Linked DNA regions of Mus musculus. The protein of the gene in region 1 binds, or shares a complex with, the protein of each later gene. Links are inferred from orthologs where the notes say so. Each region holds a gene or a part of one and is shown on either strand. Other genes may lie near its edges.

What was found.
Region 2: the proteins of Tcn2 (region 1) and Cd320 are in contact, whole or in part, in a crystal structure (PDB 7QBF), measured with the Homo sapiens proteins. The link is inferred for Mus musculus from reciprocal best matches to the Homo sapiens genes TCN2 and CD320. Residues at the interface, in NP_000346.2 of Homo sapiens: Asp70, Leu71, His74, Lys77, Leu78, Gln81, Gln82, Glu91, Asp92, Arg120, Gly121, His122, Lys123, Asp125, Arg126, Val128, Ser129, Lys132, Trp133, Glu136, Arg140, Lys169, Arg170, His172; in NP_057663.1 of Homo sapiens: Thr57, Lys58, Leu66, Cys67, Val68, Pro69, Trp72, Asp75, Arg76, Asp77, Leu78, Asp79, Leu133, Glu136, Cys145, Ile146, Pro147, Thr149, Trp150, Asp153, Gly154, His155, Pro156, Asp157, Cys158, Pro159.

The regions. Positions count from the first base shown.
Region 1 is NC_000077.6:3,921,174-3,931,764, reverse strand, and holds part of Tcn2 (transcobalamin-2 precursor), read left to right. Parts: exon of another isoform or gene 1-40; intron 41-177; 5' UTR 178-308; coding exon 309-372; intron 373-4,182; coding exon 4,183-4,375; intron 4,376-5,595; coding exon 5,596-5,765; intron 5,766-6,662; coding exon 6,663-6,824; intron 6,825-7,890; coding exon 7,891-8,063; intron 8,064-8,182; coding exon 8,183-8,369; intron 8,370-9,588; coding exon 9,589-9,754; intron 9,755-10,591. UniProt on the Homo sapiens protein: Primary vitamin B12-binding and transport protein. Delivers cobalamin to cells.
Region 2 is NC_000083.6:33,837,349-33,848,409, forward strand, and holds the start of Cd320 (CD320 antigen isoform 1 precursor), read left to right. Parts: upstream 1-5,742; 5' UTR 5,743-5,822; coding exon 5,823-5,943; intron 5,944-6,077; exon of another isoform or gene 6,078-6,204; coding exon of another isoform or gene 6,205-6,283; intron 6,284-8,667; coding exon 8,668-8,793; intron 8,794-10,146; coding exon 10,147-10,377; intron 10,378-10,668; coding exon 10,669-10,830; intron 10,831-10,937; coding exon 10,938-11,061. Other genes in the region: Ndufa7 (NADH dehydrogenase [ubiquinone] 1 alpha subcomplex subunit 7), read left to right, coding at 751-841. UniProt on the Homo sapiens protein: Receptor for transcobalamin saturated with cobalamin (TCbl). Plays an important role in cobalamin uptake. Plasma membrane protein that is expressed on follicular dendritic cells (FDC) and mediates interaction with germinal center B cells.

The DNA.
Region 1 (10,591 bases):
TGCTGCTTCCGGGGTCTTTAAAGCGTTCGGGACAGATAAGGTTAGCTTTGAGTTGCCCCACGGAGTCCCTTTTTGTTCTCATCTGGAGGACAAGCAGCTCTGCCCTTCCTTCCTTCCTCTGTTCTTTGGCCTCCTGCCCCATAACAGACCTTTCCCCCTTTCTCTCTGCTGATTTAGCAGCGTGCTTCCGGCTGTTGGAAGGACAATTAATCAGTGAAGCTGCCTCTTCCTAAGCAAGACAACAGTTGCAGTCAGACAAGCCCTCAAGGTGAGACCCAGGAGTCTCCCACCTCCCACCTGTGCCTGCCATGGAGCTCCTGAAGGCGCTGCTGCTCCTTTCTGGAGTCTTTGGGGCTCTTGCTGAATTCTGTGGTAAGTAACCAACCCGTGTCTGGACCCTGGGGTGGGGGGAGAAGGGCAGGGGAGCGGGGATATATGTGTGTGTGTGGGGGGGGGCTGTCCTTGTCCATTGGGGAAATTGGAAACTGGAAGTGGGGGATGGAGAAACTTACCTGCCCCTCAGGTCTCCCACAGCAGTTTTTAACAGGACCTTAGTGCTTGGGCATGCTGAATGGACACGTGCCCCCTGTCCCCGACAGGGTCTCCCCAGTTCATCCAGCAGTTTGTTCATTTACTCGGTGCACATGGGGCCTCTCTGAGATAGGTTAATAGGCCCGGTGTTTAGTTTGGAGAAAGGGTCAGGAGTACACAAGACTTGTCCCAGCTCTCCTAGGGTTTATGCTCTATGAAAGGGGCAAAAGGGGTGCCAAATTGGGTTACCGTGAGTGATGCAAAACAAGTCACCCTGAGGCAACAATAGAAAGCCACGGGGGTCCGTCGAATCAAAGAGAAGGATGGGAAAGGATGTCCAAAGACTAGAAGGACTAGAAGGCTTTGGGAAGAAGTCCCAGAGGGAATGGATGGGGGGGGGGGGCGGCGGCAAACATTCCAGGTACTTGAAGGTTCTCCCTGACTGCTCCAGATAGTCATCCCAGGGCTATAGTCCTCCAGAGACCTCTTATAGATTCTAGGGACCTCTCAAAACGTGATTGTGACCTTTAGGTTATAGGTTCAGGCACAGTCATACCCGGGGATCAGGCAGAAAGCAGGGGTGTCTCATCTCTCCCCTTCCTCCCGGGTACCCTGATTATCTGGTCTCAGGTGAACTCGGGCAAACCTTAAGCACGGATCAGAGAGATGATGCCCCAGCTCAAGATAACAGAACTGTACTGGATCCAGTTCTTGGGACCTGAGGCTAGCACCTTCCATAGGTGCCTAGACTCTCTGGCCATGTCCTGTTAAAGCTCCTTATCCTTGGGTCCCTGGTTGCTGTCTGGACAGTCCTCAGGGATTCCCACCTCAGCCTTGAGCTGTTAGCCCCAATGCCTGACCACAGGAGAGTTCCTCCCTTCACCATCATGAGAACTTTGGGGGCTTGGGTCCCAAAGTTCCCATTGGGTCCCTTCCCCAATGCTGTGACTTTTGTGAAGTGAGCCGAGACTGTTCCTCCTTCCTTCCTCCTTGGCGTGGTGTGAGGACACCACACTTGCGTCATCAGCCAAGGCTCTGTGTGCAATGAAATGAATAGGTCTGATCTCTAAAGTACACAGAGAGGACTCCAGGCTTCTGAATGCCTGTCAGTCAGTCAGTGAGAGGGCTAGACAACCCTGTGCACAGGATGCCTTAGTGCACGAGTGTGTGTGTGTGTGTGTGTGTGTGTGTGTGTGTGTGAGATAGGGCTGTGTAAGTCAGGGTACTGAAATGCAGTGGCTCACAGCCTTCCTAATGGTGCAACCCTTTAACACAGTTCCTCATGTCGTGGTGACCCCCAACCATCAAAATACTTTTGTTGCAGCTTCCTAACTGTAACTTTGCTACTGTTACGAATCGTAATGTAAATATTTTTGGAGAGAGAGGTTTGCCAAGGGGCTCTCGGCCCACAGTTTGAGACCCACTGTTCTAGCAGTGCAGCAGAACCAAGGAGTGTGTGTTTTGAAACACTGGCTTACAGGATGTGATCATGGTAGCCCAGCAATGGCTGTCTCTTGATGGAAAAAGGCTGAGAATCCCATAGTTATTCAGTCTGTGGGGCTGGTTATCTCTGCAGATTCAGTCTGGTGCTGGAGTCCTGGGGGAGTCCTGGGGAGCTGATGGTCTTCCATGTATGTTGGAACCACGAAGAAGGGAGACTTTAATACCAGCCACAGCAACAGGGTAGATGAACTTGCCACTGAGGGTGAGGGCAAGCAGGCAAAGGCAACGTCTCCTCCTTTACCTTATCTGGGCTGCCATCCAAAAGTTTGGGCCAGATTTAGAGTGTGTCTCTCAACTTCCAATTGTAATCTCATTAAGAAAACTCACAGAAGTACCTGGCAGCTTGGGGGTTGGTTGATTCCAGATGCAGTCAAGTTGACAAGGAAGATTAGCCATCCTAGCAGCATTGCCTGAAGCCACTTTGACTAGTTTGAGTGAATCTGCCTGGCTCCTTCCTTCTAGAGAGGGTAAATTGTGGTTATCTGCCTCCTATAGGCTGTGCCTTACCTTATCTCTTACTCGGGATGGAGGTCAGAGCCGGGGGTGGGGTCTCTGGGCTCCCTCACTAATTCCAAAGAAGAGCAGAAGAGCAGAGCTCTGTTGCTGAGATAGAGCTCAGGTGCCTGCCTACCATGAACAAAGCCCTGGTTTGAGTCTCCAGCATTGTACAATCCAGGTGTGGTGGCATACACCCGGAACCCCAACATGTGGGGAGTAGAGGCAGGAAGACCAGGAATTCTAAGGTCATCCTCAAGGACATATTGAGTTTGAGGCCAGCCTACAATACAGGAGACCTTGCATAAACAGTAAAATGTCCTCCTGGGACAGTCAGAAAGATAGAGAGCCACAGTAGAGGACCTCGAAGATACTGACAGAACTCTGGAAAGATATAGACAGATATCCCAAGAGTAAGTCTTCCCTGTTCCTACAGGGTTCCATCAGGGTTTCACTATGATGCATTCCAGGCCTTAGCCCCTCAGGTGCTGAGATTGCAGGCTTGTGCCACCATGTTCAGCTTGTGCCTGACTGTCAGAATGAACATTTCATGAGAAGCCAGCCAGGTGCCCTGGCCAGCCCCATAGAGCCAACAGTCATTTAGAGTTCGTACTTGGGAATGGCCCCTTACATCCATAGATACCTATGAGGTCTGTAAAACATTTAGAGAGATGTGGCTATGATCAAGGGATTCTGGATCTCATGTTAGGAAGCCCAAGAAAGTAGGCAGAGGGCCCTACGGCAGACCGTTCGGCATGCTGGAATATAGGTCCGTTGGACAGCAGGAGTGGGTGGCGACAGAGTCAGTAAATGGGGCAGAGAGTCCACAGTGCCTCCAATCTGAGCATGGCCCCTTCCCAAGGAAGGAAGTCAGCCATCAACTGGAATCGGTGAGCATCCCTGAGATTTCTGCTTCCAGGGCATCTCAGTGTGTTGCTTACATATTGCAGGTAAATCCCAAGTCCTGACAGGGTGCTAGTAGCTGATCTCCCAGGGTCAGACCCTATTAACTAGGGATGGCAGAAAAAGTGGTCTTTTAAGGTTCATGTGGAGGAATTTCCTAGGGCAGCTGGGAGAACCAGTTGGCAGCCTACAGCATGTGAACTTCAATGTGGAACACTCATTGCATGAGGGCTGGGGCTTTGAACAATGAGCAGGATACACTCAGGAGAGTGACTATAGCAAGGGGAGGGGTGTCAGTGTGACACAGTCTTGGCTCCCCAGCATCCTATAAGGCACAGCTTGACTTTGAACTTCTATTTCCTTTTCTATGCAAAACAACAATAAAAATATCTATCTACACCACAGGGCTGGTTGGAGGGTCAAAAGAGACAGGTGCCTGGTCCATTACTGCTGGGCTTGGTCTCCAGTCACACCTGATAGGTGGGGTGGTTGCATGGTAACAGCATCCTTTGATCTCAGCCCATCATCTCTCCTTGGCCCAGTCTAATTCCTCTTAGGAGATGCCCGCTTTTCTTTTTACCTACCACCTTTCACCATAGAGGGCATTTCTCCTGGCGGGCTGTGGGCTGTGTGGTAATGGGTATAGAAACCCCTGTTCCTGGTGAAGGTTTTGCCTAGTAAGGAGGTCACAATAGTTGCTTGCTAGTGGCATGGCTCTGTGGCCTCTCTCACACCATTTTCTTTCCTCAGTAATACCACGGATAGACAGCCAGCTGGTAGAGAAGTTGGGTCAACGTCTTTTACCTTGGATGGATCGGCTTTCCTCAGAGCAGTTGAACCCCAGCGTCTTCGTTGGCCTGCGACTTTCCAGCATGCAGGCTGGGACCAAAGAGGACCTCTACCTTCACAGCCTCAAGATCCATTACCAGCAGTGCCTCCTGCGGTATTGCTAGTCTCTTGTCTTCCCCAGTGACTTGATCCAAGTTATAAGAGATAGGAAATTGGATTCTTTTTTTTTTTTAAAGATGTCTTTCTTCCTTTCTTCCTTCCTTCCTTCCTTTCTTATAAGTACTCTGTAGCTGTCTTCAGACACACCAGGAGAGGGTATTGGATCTCATTACAGATGGTTGTGAGCCACCATGTGGATGTAGTTACTGGGATTTGAACTCAGGACCTCTTTAAGAGCAGTCAGTGCTCTTCACCACTAAGCCATCTCTCCAGCTCCTAGCAGGCTGGATTCTAATTGGGGTATTTTGTGGCTTTTTGACAAACTCTAGGCATATTTTGTCTTCTCTGAGCCTTTCTCCATCTGCAGAGTGCAGGGGTAAGTGGTACTAGATCAGAGATGCTAACACATGCCCTTTGTCCTGAAATGGTGTCCCTGATCCCTGAAGCAGCACCTAACTCTTTCTGTGCTCCCCACTGGTACCTAAGACAGACATTACTAATTCATAACCAAACATATGATTGTATATTGATACAAAGAAGCAGTATCTAACTCTGTAGTTTACTCTTGTACTACAGACAGACACTGCTAATTCACAACCATGTTCTTTCATGCAGTCTAGAAGCAGCATATTTCTGTGTTCCTTCTCCAAAGAGTAGCCATTAAAGAGAGGCCTGCTCTGGGGTTTGAGTGAGAGGCGAAGAATAAGAAAAAGCCATCAATCACTAGGCATAGTGGTATACACCTTTAATGCCAGCTCTTGGGAGGTGGAGGCAGGTGGATCTCTTTGAGTTTGAGGCCAGCCTGGTTTGCAGATCGAGTTCCAGGACATCTAGGGCTACACAGATAAATCCTGTCTTGAAAAACAAAAACAAAACAAATACATGCACATACACACACACACACAAAGAAAAAAAACATGAAATATCTGAAATATCTTCCCCATTCCATTCCTTCTCAAGAATTCAGGGAAGGGAGAGAAAATAAAGGAGAGAGTTCATGGGCAAACGGGGGTCAAACTGTATGATGTGGATGTAGGCACCTTTGTGTTTTACCCTTGACTTACCTCACCTTTCTTCTTTTGAAGAATCTGTGGCATGCACCTCATACCAGCACAGCTGACTGCTAATTCCACTTTGTGACCTTAGTGTGGGCCAAGCCTGGCTTCTCAGGGGAGCACCTTCTTACAAAGGTTCTCTTGTCTTGCCTCGTCTTAGGTCCACCTCCAGCGATGATAACAGTAGTTGCCAGCCCAAACTTTCCGGGGGCAGCCTGGCGCTCTACCTGCTTGCTCTCAGGGCCAACTGCGAATTCTTCGGGAGCCGAAAGGGTGACAGGTTGATCTCACAGCTCAAGTGGTTCTTGGAGGATGAGAAGAAGGCCATTGGTAAGGAGAACCACATCTGAGGGGGCAGGAACATCCGGGAGGGCTCATTAAATGGTTTCGGCGTTTGTAGTTTTGAGGCAGGCTCCGGACTCATAATTGTTCTTGTGAGATGAGGTTCTTGGTGGGAATCAGAACTCGGGGGTTTCTTCCCAGACCTCTTCTAACTCCCTCACTGGGTCTACCTAGAAGCTCGGGCTGGACTCAGTCGCCAGGCTTGACCCAAGCTTTCCCCTACCCCATGCACAAGCTGTTGGGTGCCCAGCCAGCAAGACTAAGCGGTTTCCACCTCTGGGACACTGGTACGGCCTCCTCTCTGCCTACTCCTTAGCCTCTGTCAACTTTCCAGCCTCCTGACTTGGACCCAATTCCCAACAGCTGAAGCAGGGATTTTCAGTATAAACCTGTTCTTCATTCAGCTTACACCTTGCAGCCCCCCTCCCTGCAGCCCCCCTCCCTGCAGCCCCCCTCCCTGCAGCCCCCTCCCCGCCGCCCCCCTCCCCGCCCATTCTTCCATTGCTAACCCTCAGCCCAGCCTGGCTGGTCTCTTACACTTTCTAGGCATTGCTTGCTTGCTTCTCTTTGTGCTCCAGGCACAATGACCTTCTCAAACAAGTCTAGATATTTATCTGTGCCCTGCAGAGTGACATCCATGAAGAATCCTGTCTCAATTTCCCAGCTATTTAGACTTCTGTTATTGGCTCTAGGGACCTCAGGCCACATTTCTGTTACAATGGTGCTGTCCTATGAGCACCGTTCTATTCTGACCTGCAGAGATAGAACCCGGCATATATTGGGACCTCAGCCAGCAGCCTGTGGTCCCGAAAGCTATGAAGTTTCTTGCTGGGAAGAGGCGGAAACCCTGACCTGTCTCTCTACTCCTTGCCTTTCTAATCTCAGGGCACAATCATGAAGGCCACCCCAACACCAACTATTACCAGTATGGCCTCAGCATCCTGGCACTGTGTGTCCACCAGAAGCGGCTCCATGACAGCGTGGTGGGCAAGCTCCTGTATGCTGTTGAACATGACTACTTTACCTACCAGGGCCACGTCTCTGTGGGTGAGTGGACAAAACCTAGCTTTCCCCAGCCCCAGGGGAAGGGGTGTACGACCTGTCCCTCTGCTCACCTTTCATTGGAACATCTCCTTGCCAGATCCCTTCGAAATGAAATGGTGGGGACTGTGAGCCAGCTTTGAAACTGGACTTGCATCCTGACCACAGCTCCATCACGTGTTCACTGTAGGTCATCCTCCTCCTCTTCCCGCCAGGCTTTTCCTTTAAAACAACCTCCCAGCAGCAGCTCAGTAAAGGCACTTTACAAGCAGAGGTCTTAGCACACACTTGGTACCGTATAACCTGGGATTCTGATACCTGGATTTTGATCTGATTTCTCACTATGTGACCTTGGGCCACCAGACCTATTTTTTAATCATCACAATTCAAGGTCTCTGCTAGGCCTGGGCTTCTGTGAATGAATAAGGCCTCATGTAGGGTGGGTAGGATGGAGTAGGAAGGGGGTTGATTGGTAGATGATTGCTTAGAGAGAAAAAGGCACCAGGACCTCTGGCAATGAAAGACTTGTCTCAGAGTCTTGTAGAGAAACACAGTGGACACATTAATGTTGCCTAGAGGGAAGAGGAGATCTTAAAAACTCCCAGGCCCTGACAGCTACCTTTATCAATTAAATCAGAATGCCTGAGGGTAGATAACGTAGCTGTTGGCACCAAACTCTCCAAGGAGGCTGGAGATGTAGCCCAATGGCAAATAACTACTATGCTTGAGGTCCTAAATTCAATACTCTACACTACAAAACCAATATGATTTAATTAATCAGTAATAAAGTTCCCTCTTTGGTCTCAGTGCATCCTGGCTTAGGAGCAGGGACTGTAGAATCCATCCTCTGGGACCCTCTTCTTCAGTCTGTCCATATAACCTGTTACTCTCAAGCCACTCAGTGACCAAGTTTGTCTAGGTCTGAGCGTTTTTCTGGGGCTTACTGTGTCCAGTGTTAGGACCAGGGAAGTCCTGGGCAAATCACCTGAATTGGTATGGTATATGATCCTGAATCCCCACCTAGTCTGATCTTATCAAGCTGTCCAGTTCATACTAGATGTTATCCCCCTAGACACAGAAGCCATGGCCGGCTTGGCCCTCACCTGTTTGGAGCGATTCAATTTCAACTCTGATCTGAGACCACGAATCACCATGGCTATCGAGACAGTGCGAGAGAAAATCCTGAAGTCCCAGGCCCCTGAGGGCTACTTTGGGAATATCTATAGCACCCCACTGGCACTACAGGTAAGAGAGAGACTCTGGAGCCATGACTGCTTAGCGGGTCAATGGAGGGAGGGCTGGTTAGAAGCTGGAGAGCCTGGTTCCTTCCCAGGGGCTAACCTCTGACCTTCTCTTCCTCACAGATGCTCATGACATCTCCTGCATCCGGGGTAGGGCTGGGCACAGCGTGCATCAAGGCAGGGACATCCCTGCTGCTCAGCCTACAGGATGGGGCCTTCCAAAATCCTCTGATGATTTCCCAGCTGCTACCCATCCTGAACCACAAGACCTACTTGGATCTTATCTTCCCAGACTGCCAGGCATCCAGGGGTAGCAGAGCCCTTTCTGTCTCCTAAGTGATAAGCTACTCTCTGTGGGTCCCAGTGATGGGTGACCAGTCAGTGATGCTTGGCTGAGGCGACATGAGCATGCACAGAACACAGCAGCTAAAACGAGGCCACAGCCTTCTGATACTCATGGTGTGGGCACAGACACCAAACAAGTGCTCTGGGCGGTACCCACTGCGTGATACCCACCGTGGAAATGTTTGGGCGAGGGAATGGAGGAGTGTATTAGTCATGGTCCTCTAAAGCAGCAGCATTGATAGGATGGTTTATTGGATTGGCATACACTATATGGTACAGATAGTTCAACAGTGGCTCTCTCACTCTGTCTCAGTCTGGAAAGCTGGATGTCTCCGCAGTCCCAGTGTGGCGATGCAGGAGGCCTGATGGATTCTGAAGAGCTGTTAGCCTTCTATCTACATTGGAAGTGTGAGGAAGTTGGTTTAATATCAGCAAAGGGATGCTGTAAGAGGTCAGATAAAGTAGATAGTGAGAGTGAGGGCAAGCGGCAAAAAGCAGGTTCCTTCTTCCGAGTCCTTTTGCCTGATCTGCCACCGGAAGGTGCTGCCCACATTTACAGAGGGTCGTCCCCATTTTGAAGAATCTGATTGAGAAAACCCATCTCATGAATACCCAGAGACTTGCATTTTAGTCGATTCTAGATGCCATCAGGTTGAAAAGCGAGATCATCACAGATGAGTTAATGACTCAATGAGTGGAGAGACACATTTGGTTAATGTTGGTACCCAAGGACTTGTCAGGAAATGGGAGGAGAGGGCAAAGGAGCAGAGAAGGCCAAAGCAGAGGCGCGGGGCCCTGTAACACAGGGGCATCATGGGAGAAAGTGGGTCTGGGAGAATGAACAGGTGTAGTAGATAAATGCAGAGAAAGAAGATGTGTCTGTCAGGGGTGACCAGGACGTGACTTGAACAGATGCAGACAGGGTCCTCTGAGGTGCGGTGTGTCAGATAGGAGAGAGGCAAGAAGCAGAGACCCAGCAAGGAGCTCAGGCCTGGGCTGCAGAAGGATGTGGAGGCTGAGATGAGACCCGGGTTTCAGCCCAGCAGCTGTTCATGCTGTTGACTGAGCTATTTCGAGGGAAGGCCGTAGGCCACTCGGGCAAGGTGTCTGTAGGAAGAAGGGAGGACTCAGATCCAGGCTCCCGGTCCTCATGACAGCTGCTTCTTCCTTTCTTCCTGGCATAGTCATGTTGGTGCCAGCTGTTGAGGACCCTGTCCACATCTCAGAAGTCATCAGCGTCACGCTGAAGGTCGCCAGTGCCCTGTCACCATACGAACAGACATTTTTTGTCTTTGCTGGATCTTCCTTGGAAGATGTCCTGAAGTTGGCACAAGATGGCGGAGGATTCACGTGAGGCTTCCCGTTCCTCATCCTAGCTCTCACTTCCCTCAGGCCTCCGTGCTTGAAATGGTATCATGGGAAGGGTGAGGAACAGAGGAGTTTCTTGGGAGAAGTTCTGGTTTAATTTCTATGTCTACCTTCTCCACTCCTTTCTGGCCTGTGTTTTGGGCCTGTGGTGTTTGGCCTGTGCTGGGAGCTATGGACCACCACTGTCATCAAGGGACCCAGACTTGGGACTCCAGTTCCTCACTCTTCATCCACTCCCTACAACCCCAGGCTAGTGAGTTGAGGGACGAGATGTTGCTCCTCTTCACAGGGCCACTAGGGGGAGCCTAAGCTCACCGCTGGGCATGTTTTGTGTAGGTTTAAAGCTTGGTATGCAGTGAGAGCGCCAGGAAGATTAATTGTATCAAATAACCTTGATAACATCTCGCCATTAATAACTCTGAGAAGGTAGACACTTGTCCCTTGAGATTTGACAAGCGCGAGAATAGGCGAAACTTAGTTGCTGCTCCTTGCTGGCCCCTGGCCAACCATGGAGATGGATCTGCCTCCCCAGGGTTAACTCTGGCTCGAAGCAGCTGAGTATCCCTACCAGCCTGCTCTCTCCCCTGGATTCTTGCCTTATCTTGAGAAATCTCTGCTTTCTGTTCCCAACAAGAGTTCCAGGGAAAGCCACCTAAGGACTGTTTGGTCATTTGGGCCAAGAACTCTTAGAACACAGCTGTGTAAACACCACTGTCCTTTTTGTTTGTTTTTCAGAGACAGGGTTTCTTTGTGTAGCTCTGGCTGCCCTGGAACTCACTCTGTAGACCAGGCTGGCCTCAAAAGCTCAGAGAGCTCTGC
Region 2 (11,061 bases), on another chromosome or scaffold:
CTCAGAAATCCGCCTGCCTCTGCCTCCCGAGTGCTGGGATTAAAGGCGTGCGCCACCACCGCCCGGCTCATGGGCCTCTTTTCTTAACCTAGAACTTGACAACTGCTTGCAAAGGAAAAATCAGTTTTCTCCAGTGGAGTCTCACTGTTTGTACAAACTATACAGAAGGACAGTCCCCATGCAGAGCTGTAGACAGCCGACACAGAACAAACTTAGTACTGTTTTTGGATCTGTTTGTTTCATAATGCTTTGTTTGGCATTTTTTACTTACAGGTCTTTTATATTGTGGTTTCTGACTTTGTGTTTTTATGGGTTTTGTGTATAAAGATTTATTGTTACACATAAGTACACTGTAGCTTTCTTCAGACACACCAGAAGAGGGCGTAAGATCTCATTACGGGTGGTTGTGAGCCACCATGTGGTTGCTGGGGTTTGACCTCAGGACCTTCAGAAGAGCAGTCAGTGCTCTTACCCACTGAACCATCTCGCCAGCCCATATTTTTCTTTTTTGTTTTGTTTTGTTTTGTTTGTTTGTTTGTTTGTCTGTTTGTTTATAAAGACAGAAAGAAGGCATGGAGATTGGAAGTAGGGAGGATCTGGGAGGAAATGAGAGAGGAAACTGATCAGAGAATATATTGTATGGAAAATTTATTTTCAATAAAAATTTAAAACAAACACAAATAAACCAAAAGATCCTCACTGTTCTTTGTAGGCCTGGTTCTAACTGGAGTTTGTCGTTTTTTCTTGTAGTTCTGCAATGGCAGCCACTGAGAAGAAGGCAGTGACACCTGCTCCTCCCATGAAGAGGTGGGAGCTGTCCAAGGACCAGCCATACCTGTGACCCTGCCCTAGGTTACCTTGCTATATATGTCTCTAGGGCCACATGACTGCTTTTCCTCCTTGGACTCCCTCTGGGGAGAGTGTGACCTAATTTGTAACAAATATATAGAATTCCACATTATTTCCAATCTGTCTTTTCTTAGTATTTATCGATTGGATTTGATATTACTGTGTGCCGGGTGTGTGAATACATGCTGCAGCATGTGTGGACATGTGTGCCAGGTGTGTGAACACACGCTGCAGCATGTGTGGACATGTGTGCCAGGTGTGTGAACACACGCTGCAGCATGTGTGGACATGTGTGCCAGGTGTGTGAATACATGCTGCAGCATGTGTGGACATGTGTGCCGGGTGTGTGAACACACGCTGCAGCATGTGTGGACATGTGTGCCGGGTGTGTGAATACATGCTGCAGCATGTGTGGACATGTGTGCCGGGTGTGTGAATACATGCTGCAGCATGTGTGGACATGTGTGCCGGGTGTGTGAACACACGCTGCAGCATGTGTGGACATGAGAAGACAACTTTGGGAATTGGTTTTCTCCTTCCACTTGGTTTTTGGTGTCCTGTGTACTCCAGGTTAGCTGGCCCAAGAGTGTCTGCCTGAGGCTGCTGTCTGTACCTCCCAGCCTGCTGTAGGATTAGATTTGAGCCACTATGTGTCATTTTTGGGCTCTGAGGATGGGACTTAGGTCTCAGCCTTTTGAGGCTAGCACTTTTACTTGCGATCCATCTTGCCAGTTTTTTTTTTTTTAAATGGGGTCTTGGTGCCTGTAATCTCTGTATTACTAAGCCAGTAGGTGAGCTAGTAGGTGAATATCATTTTTGCTCCGTGGAATGACTCTGTAGCCCTTAAGTAGTCATTGATGAAGGTAGAACTGTGGAAAACATAAATAAAACAATAAGTTGAGTGTGGTGGTGCATGGCTAACCCCAAATTTAGGAGGCAGAGGCAGGAGGATTGCCAGTTTGAGGCCAGATTTTAGGTTACAGATTGAGAACCTATATCTCAGACTAACAAACAGAACACTGGCATCAAAAGAAAAGTAGAGATGAGCAAGAGTGTGGAGACTGGGGCTGCCTGGAAGCTGAGAGCAAGAGCAAGAAGGCCACAGCCCTGCCTGGAAGGTGTCAGGGTCTCAGAGTGAGTGTTATAGGATGCTACAGCTGCAGGCTTCACGGAGGAGGTGAAAGGGCAAGCTAGATTCAGAAAGGAGGTCAAACGGGAGAGGAACCGTGGTCATAGTATACAGAGCCTGCTGCCAGAGGACTCCTAAAGGCCTCGGGCAATATGTGGTATTGAAAATTGCTGTGTAGATTTATGACCTAGGAAATTGCAGGAGTGGTGTGGGAAAGGACTCCCTCCCTCCCTCCTTCCTACCTTCCCTCCCTCCCTCCCTCCCTCCCTCCCTCCCTCCCTCCCTCCCTTCTTTCCTTCCTTTCTCTGCTTTTTTGAGACAGTGTTTCTCTGTGTAGCCCTGGCTATCCTGGAACTCACTATTGACAATTAGCCCCCAATTCAGAGATCCTTCTACCTCTGCCTCCTGCGTGCTGGGATTAAAGGTGTGTGCCACCAAGCCTGGCTGATTTTCTTTTTTTTTTTTTCTCTTTCCTCCTCCTCCTTTTTTTTTTTTTTTTTTTTTTTTTTCCGAAATACTAGGATTACTAGTGTGTGCCCCCAGCCCTGGTTTATAGGATGCTGGGAATTGAACACAGGGCTTGGTGCATGCCAGACAAGCAAGCTCTCTACCAACTGAGCTCCATCTTGAGTCCTTTTGTTTTCTGAGGCAGGTCCCTACTCTAACTTAGGCTAACTTGGAACTTACTAAATAACTCGTGCTGACCTTGAAGTTAATGAAGTCCTTCAGCCTCAGCTGAAGAGATTATAGGTGTTTGCTTTCGTGTGTGGGCTCACCTCTTTATCTCTGTTTTGGCAGTTCTCTGAGCAATTCTGGGAGGTCATCTTGAACAGACAGTGCACTCTCTCGGGCTCATTGAGAGCTGGTGAATTCTAGGCAGTTGGGGAGTGGATTGCATTGCTCTGTGTAAATCTAGGGTCTGCCCAGATACCTTCCCCCACCACCAAGGACCAGCCTTGTCTTGGAAAGGGGTTCTGAGAGAAGAGTTGTCTGGGAGGTGAGAACAAATTGTGGGTCTAAGCTGAGGACCTATGTTTTGCTTGAGACAGCTCTCTAGAGTGCTTTCTGTAAGTTCTGCTCTCTCTGGAGGTCTCCAGACAGCTGCTCTCTCTCTATGTTCTGCTTATGCCAGTTCTCCAAGCACTTCTCTCTTGCTATTCAAAAAAAAATTCTCTGAGTATCTCATGCAGATCATGAACCCAGTCTTTTATTTTACATGTCAATCTAGTCATGTATTCCAGGATCCCTTTTGATTATCCTATGAATCAGCATCTTGTGACCCCAGCCCCTTAATTCTTAGAAGACAGTAAGCACACCCTTTTTTTTTTAAACATTGCAAAAGAATTCAGAAGATGCCTGCTACTGTTAAACATAGACCATAAGCTAGCTGGGTGGGACCCCATCCCGAAATAATATTTCTTCCATGCCTGGGCCAAAAACTTGCTCTGTCCCAGGCCAACCCTGAACTCAAATGTCTGCTTTTGTAAGCATAAACAAACAAACAAACAAACTTAGCTGGGTGGGCTATCCTTTGATCACCACTCCCCACGTCTCTTTATCTCCCGAGTATCTTTCTGACAAGTCGGCTCCCAGCACAACTGCTTTTGTTCCTTTAGATTAGTGAAGCTCATATAATTCATATTGCATCCTTATTTTTTGAGAAATTAAATATTTTTGAACTCTTTTTTTAAAGTTCTTTCTCACAGGCCTAAGCTGTTCCTAAGATCCTAATGTTTACCATTTTGCTGAGACATTAGCCACACCTTGGCCTCCTGCACTCTTGCTGTCTCTGATTATCATGGAGTTATTAACTTTAACAGGGAGGACATTCCTTGAAGGAGGAATGTAATATACATAGTTATACAAACAAGCCTTAAGCTCTGCACTCATGGAGGCCTATGCCTGATGGCCGTGTCCCAGGGGCAGGTAGCACCCTACCAAGATCCTGATCCTCAAAAGTAGGATGATCTGGGGGGTGGGTATGGGGGACCTTTGGGATAGCATTGAAAATGTAAACGAGGAAAATACCTAATTTAAAAAAAAAATGGGAATGGGTGGGGGGAGGGGGGGACTTTTGGGATAGCATTGGAAATGTAATTGAGGAAAATACATAATAAAAAAAAAAAAAGAGGAAAAAAAAATGTAGGATGATCCCCACCCTCCCCTGGGCTGTCTTACTTACCTCTGTCTGCATCCCTCTCTGCCTGAATACCATTGCCTTCTCCAGAAATTGGTGAGGCTTACACAGTACACTCCAAAAGTAGTCATAACCTCTAACATTTACGGTGGTAGAGAGGCCATCCATCCACAAGCAGCACCATTTGTGTGAAAGTCTGGACTTCTATGTAGCCTTCTGGTCTACATTCTGGGAAACTTAGCCATTTGAAGGTTAGTGACTTGCCTTCCAGCCTTGTTGGGAGGTAGTGTCATAGATTCTTTTTTTTTTTTTTTTTTTTTTTTTCTTTTTGGTTTTTCGAGACAGGGTTTCTCTGTGTAGCCCTGCTGTCCTGGAACTCACTTTGTAGACCAGGCTGGCCTTGAACTCAGAAATCCACCTGCCTCTGCCTCCCGAGTGCTGGGATTAAAGGCATGCGCCTCCACGCCCGGCCAGTGTCGTGGAATCTTAAGGTAGAGCTATGGAAAACGTAATGTGAAGAATAAAACACTAAGCTGGTACATGACTATATCCCCAATACTTCGGAGGCCAAAGCAAGAGAGAGGATCACTAGTTTCAGGCCAGCTTGGGTTACCTCAGACCAGCAGAAACCACAACATCACTAGCCACATTGGATAAGCTGACTCAATGCATTCAACTGTGGAAGTGGGATGAGAAAACCCAAGGCTGCCAATCTGTATCAATTACAATTAATACAATTGTAGTATCAATCTACCAGGCCCATGTTAGAATAAATGTTTCTCAAGTGTGTGAGAACTAGAAGTTAATGAGGTTGGGATGGGAACCAAGGAGATGGTCAGTCCAGGTTCGAAGCCAGTAACTGTTCACTCATTTGATCATTCCATCATTCCCTCACTATTTTCGCCATTCATCAAAGGAAACCAACATCCTGGTTCGCCTGCAGCTGGCATTCTAGGGGGCAATCAAGACAATAAAGCTAAAATAAGTAAAATCCTTAGGTGGCACAAAGGAGGGACCTGCTGGGGAGTGTTCACAGGGTGTGGCTGCCATATTCATTGGGACCATTGGGCAGTGATATTTGCAGTAGGCTACATGTGAAGTTTAGGTCAAAATTGCTAAGTTCATTTATATCCCTAGAAGGTTTATTTTTATTTTTGGTTTTTTGAGACAGGGTTTCTCTTTGTAGCCCCCGGTGTCCTGGAACTTACTCGGTAGACCAGGCTGGCCTGGAACTCAGAAATCTGCCTGTCTTTGCCTCCCAAGTGCTGGGATTTAAGGCGTACACCACCACTGTTCAGCAGAAGTTTATTATTTCAAGTTAATGTGGTTATTTTCATGGAACTGGGGATTAAACCTAGAGCCTCCTGAATACTACTAGGCAAGTGCTCTACTACTGAACTACTCCCCGAATTCCTGTTTTTTATTCTGAGGTAGGGTCTCCTTTAATAGCCTAGGTTGGCTTTGTTCTTCCTCAGCCTGTAGAATATCTGGGAGTTACAGGCCTAGGTCACCAAACACATTAGGTTTTACTGCTAGGAAGAAGCCAGGAGGAGCCCTAAAATCAAAGTACCCTTGTATTCGGGTACTTACGGTCGCAGGCTTGCTTGCGCCACTCCCCCCTGCCTTTGTGTGCGCGTGCGCGAGAATCAGCGCGTCCTTCTGACTGAGCGGCTGCGGCTGGAGCGGAGCAGTTCGGCTAGCTGTTGGATGGCGCGGGGCGGAGCTGGGCGGGCAGTGGCCCTGGGCCTGGTGCTGCGGCTCCTCTTTGGTCTCAGAACAGGCCTAGAGGCCGCTCCGGCTCCGGCCCATACCCGGGTCCAAGTCTCCGGTGAGTGAACCCCCGTTTCTACACCGCTTTTGATCCCGCCTCCACGCGCTGGCATCGCCTCACTATTGGCTGCGCCGCCCATCGGTCGTTGACACTCCCCCAGCACGCGTGTTTGGCTTTAGCGTGGGTAGAGTGGAGAGAATCGGCCCTCTGTGCGTGCAGAGGGGACCGCCACATGGGTGCCTTCTCCTGTGTTCTGCTCAGCTTCCTCCCTTATTCCTGCGCTGTCCCTAAGTCACCTCCAAGCCGTCCTTCAGCTCAATGTGGGCTGGAAGGCTTTTGTTTCTGATTTTGACCTCTCACCACGCAGGGCTGGTCACCCGGTACCTTCTTGCAGCAGGTATGCCTTCCCGAAACCTTCAGCCCTGAGGCTGCAGTTCTGTGGCTGTTCTTTCAGCACCCAGAGCTTCAGTTTTTCCTTGTATTCCTGCCTCAGAGAATGGAAGGAAGAGCCCTGGAGTGTATTTCCCCTGTGAACCCCAATCTTGGCCAGGAACCTGTCCCGGGCAGGACGAGGAGGCCCGATTGTGACCACTGGCCACTACTGACCATCCACTCTGTATGAGAATAGGTCTTAACTGTTTCAAGGTTTTTTTGGTTTGTTTGTTTTTGTTTCTGTTTTTAGGTTTTTATTATGTTTTGATTTTTTTTTTTTTTTTCCAAACAGGGTCTCACTTTATAGCTCTGGCTGTCTGCAACTTGCTATATAGACTAGGCTGGGCTTGAACTCCTAGAGATCCACCTCCCAAGTACTGGGATTAAAGGCAGGCACTAGTTCCCCTTTTTTTGAGACAGGGACTTACTATATAACACAGGCTGGACTGCTGTTTTCAACTTGTGCCTTAGGCTCCCCAGCACAGGGATTATTAGGTATGGACCATTGTATTTGGCTGTTTATGGATCTGTACCCATAAACTACCCCTCCTCCCACTTTCGGCTGTTTTGTAGCTCCAAGCAGTCTTCTTGTTCCAGCATCCCAGGAGCTGGACTTACTATTGAGCAACATTAAGTCTGGCCTTAGTATTCCTCTTTTACAGATGAGGACATAGACTGGGAGGAGGAATCATGGGTCATCCTGACTCCTGTCTGATTAATTGCCCCCAAGAGGTATAGGGTCTGCTCTGCTCTGGGCCCATTCCAAGAAAATACAGAGTCAGGAAGAGAAGGTCTGAGTTGGCAGGACTGTGAGTTGTTAGGCATGGAGAGGAGGCTATGCTGGGCAGGAAGGGGTGGTGGCCAGGGCTTGTATTCAGTTCTTCAGCTCTCTGGAGCTTCTGAACTGTGTGGTATGCAGGTATAATTGCGTTTGACTACAAGGAGAGGGAGGGAGGGGTCTTGGAGGCTCTGGCTCTGTGTGTGAGGTAGGAAGCTCTAAAGGCTCCCTCCTGTCTTTGTTCATTCCTTCCTGCTGGCCCAAGTACCAGGTCTCTTCACTGCCTGCCCCTCTTGATCAGCAAACAGCCCCGGCTTCCCTGGAAAGGCTTAGGTTTTATCTGGGTCAATGTGGACCCTCACATGACTTGTTCACACACTGTCAGGCACTAGACATGGCCATGAGGCCACGTCCCTGACTTTCACTGAGAGTGTTCAGTCAATAGGAATATGGATGTTACTAGTTAGGGACTGTTGTTTGTGGGAGGCAGAGCTTCCTGGGGAACATGAGACACTGCCCAAGATATAAACTAAGATCTGAAAGCTGAAGAAGAATCACACCTATAGAGTGGAAGGACAAGGTGGGCTGTGGCTGGGGTATATAGCTCAATGGTAGAATGTTTGCTTGATGTGCAAAACGGTCTAGACTCCTCTTCCTCTGAATACAGAGTGGAAGAAGGGCCCTTGGGTTGTGGAAGGCACGTGCAAAGGCCCTGTGATGAAAGCGAGTCAAGTCTCTTAGATAAACTACGAGGAGGAGGCCAGGATAGAGGGGTTTGATGGAGAAGGGAAGGATTTAGCCTTGGATGTGAGAGGACCTGGGTCCCGTGGGATAGTGGGTGATCAGAGTAGATAAGAGTGTGATATTCTGGCCTGGTGGAGATTCGGTACTAGGGGTCTAGTTCAGAGGTGACATATTTAGGTCAAGCTGAGTGTTTTCACCTGGGAAGAACTTGGGAGATGAGGGAATAGGTCTTGGCGAGTACACATGATCACCATGCTTTAAGTCAAGGTCTTCCTATATAACCCTAACTGGCCTGGAACACAGAGTCCTTCTGCCTCCAACCTCCTGCATACATATAATACCATGCCTGGCTTTTGAGCAGATTTACTACCCAGGCTCTCAGTTTCCCCTTTGCTAAGCAGGTGGGTTAGACTAGGTCCCCCTGACCTTGATCATGAGTCTCTTGCAGAGCATGTTGGGGAACGGCTCTTCTCCGAGCCCGTTTAAACTATGGAGCTTGGTGGTCTCCAATGTAGACTTTGTGGCCATTTGGAGCATTTGGAGCCTAATAGTGTCAAGGGTCAGTAAGACCTGGGTTTGAGTCCCGACTTTTGTCACCAGCTCTGTGTGGTCATAGTGTTTCAGAAGACTGGAGCCTAGCAGCATTCATGAACTTCCAGGGCCCCAAACCCAGGGCTCTGTAGAGGGTGGCTATCAATATAGTTTCTTTACCCTTTCTTTACATCGCTTATCTCTAGCTGATTGCAGCTCATAACTGTCCTCTTGAAAGATATTCTAGATTTGGATCCCCCAACCCTCCCAAGGCCTCATTTATGTTCATTTCTCAGGCTCTAGAGCTGACTCCTGCCCGACAGACACCTTCCAGTGTCTTACCAGTGGCTATTGTGTGCCCCTTTCCTGGCGCTGTGATGGGGACCAGGACTGCTCTGATGGCAGTGACGAGGAAGACTGTAGTAAGTGGCCATTCCTGGAGAGGGGCTTGAGGATGGGTGTTTACACTGCTGCCAGGCATGGAGATTAGGGGATTAGGAAAAGACTGGTTGTAGGGCTGGATAAGCAGGGCAAGGTGGAGTCTGTGGGTCTGGACTGTTGGGATTGCTTTATACCCAGCGCTCTAGAGACATAGGTAGGCAGGCGTACGGGGAGGGTGAGCAGGTAAAGGAGGAGCCTGATGGGAAGCCGAGGGCTTAGTAGGTGGAGTTGACAGGTGTTGCACAGAGACTTCCCATAGGGCAAGCCTTTACACACAGACTTCTTTATTTTACTTAGTGTGTGTCTGGGTACAAGTGTGTGCAGGAGTGTTTGCCAGCATGTCTGTGTGTATGTAGGGCTGGAGCTTGACACTGGTGGTGTCCTTTGTTGCTCTCCACCTTACTTTTGAGACCATCTTTCACTAAAATTGACAATCCCCCAGCACGCGCCTTTGGATTTAGTGTGGGGAGAGTGGAGAGAATCAGCTAGAATGGTTTGTTCCAGGGAGCCCCAAGATCCAGCCATGTGTACTCTTAGCCTTGTGGTTAGAGATGTGCCCTGCTGCACCTGGCCTTTACTAGGTACTGGGGATCAAACTCATTCAACATGTTTGTACTACAAGCACTTTGCCCTCTGAGTTATCTCCTCAGCTCTGAGGAAGCTGCTTTCATACATTTATTTTGTATGTCCCAGGATGGCCTGAAAGTCTCTATGTCGATCAGGCTGGCTTCATACTCACAGAGATCTATCTGCCTTTGCCTCCCAAGTGCTGGGATTAAAGTAGCTAAAGGAACGAGATGCTTTTAGTTTTTAGTTTAGTTTGCTACTTGTGGAAGAAGTTAGGATTTAGAGCGGATTGGGTAACCAGAGCACTGGGATTTCTTCTTTGTGTGAGTGTGTGTGTGTGTGTGTGTGTGTGTGTGTGTGTGTGTGTATGAGAGAGAGAGAGAGAGAAAGAGAGAGAGAGAGAGAGTGAGTTAGGGTTTCTTTACATATTGATAGCTGTCTTAGAACTCACTATGTAAGCCGGGGCGTGGTGGCGCACGCCTTTAATCCCAGCACTCGGGAGGCAGAGGCAGGCGGATTTCTGAGTTCGAGGCCAGCCTGGTCTACAAAGTGAGTTCCAGGACAGCCAGGGCTATACAGAGAAACCCTGTCTCGAAAAACCAAAAAAAAAAAAAAAAAAAAAAAAAAAAAAAAAAAAAAAGAACTCACTATGTAGACTAGGCTGGCCTCCTCTTCCAAGTGCTGGGATTAAAGGTGTGCACCACCGTGCCTGGCATACTGCATTTTCTTGCATGGATGTTTTGAATCTGATTGACTCTATGTTTCAGGGATTGAGTCATGTGCTCAGAATGGGCAGTGCCAACCACAGTCTGCCCTTCCTTGCTCCTGTGACAACATCAGTGGTTGCTCTGATGTCTCTGACAAGAACCTCAACTGCAGCCGCCCACCCTGTCAGGAGAGTGAGCTGCATTGCATACTGGATGATGTCTGTATTCCACACACGTGGCGCTGTGATGGCCACCCAGACTGTCTTGACTCCAGTGATGAGCTCAGCTGTGGTCTGTGTCCTGGGATCTTGGTATACCTGTGTGGGTGGGGAAGGCTGACAGTTATTTAAGGACATTTCTTTCCTTCCATGGGTGACTAGTTTGAGGATGTAAACACACGCTTCCTCCCAGGCCTTCGTCCCTGTGCTGGTGGACAGGACATCATGAGGATTAGTGATTTCCCACCAACTTTACTCTGTCTTAGATCAGGATGAATTCTAAGAGTTGGGCACTGGAAACCTTGTGTACCAGACTGCTAAGCCCTGGGCGCCCCTCAGCTACTGATGCCTTGCCTTGTTGCAGACACTGACACAGAAATTGATAAGATATTCCAGGAGGAGAATGCCACAACTACAAGGATTTCTACGACCATGGAGAATGAGACCTCTTTCAGGAATGTAACATTTACCTCTGCTGGGGACTCATCCCGAAACCCAAGTGCCTATGGGGTTATTGCAGCTGCTGGTAAGATAGGCTTTCCCATGTGAGGAACTTGGGGCTCTCCACTTACTAGTCTGCGATAGTTCCTGCCCTCCTTATCCTACTCCTGACCATCTGTCTGTCCCCTACAGGGGTGTTGAGTGCCATCCTGGTTTCGGCCACCCTTCTCATATTGCTACGCCTCCGAGGTCAGGGTTATCTGCCCCCACCAGGGCTGTTGGTGGCTGTGAAGGAGTCGCTGCTGCTGTCAGAAAG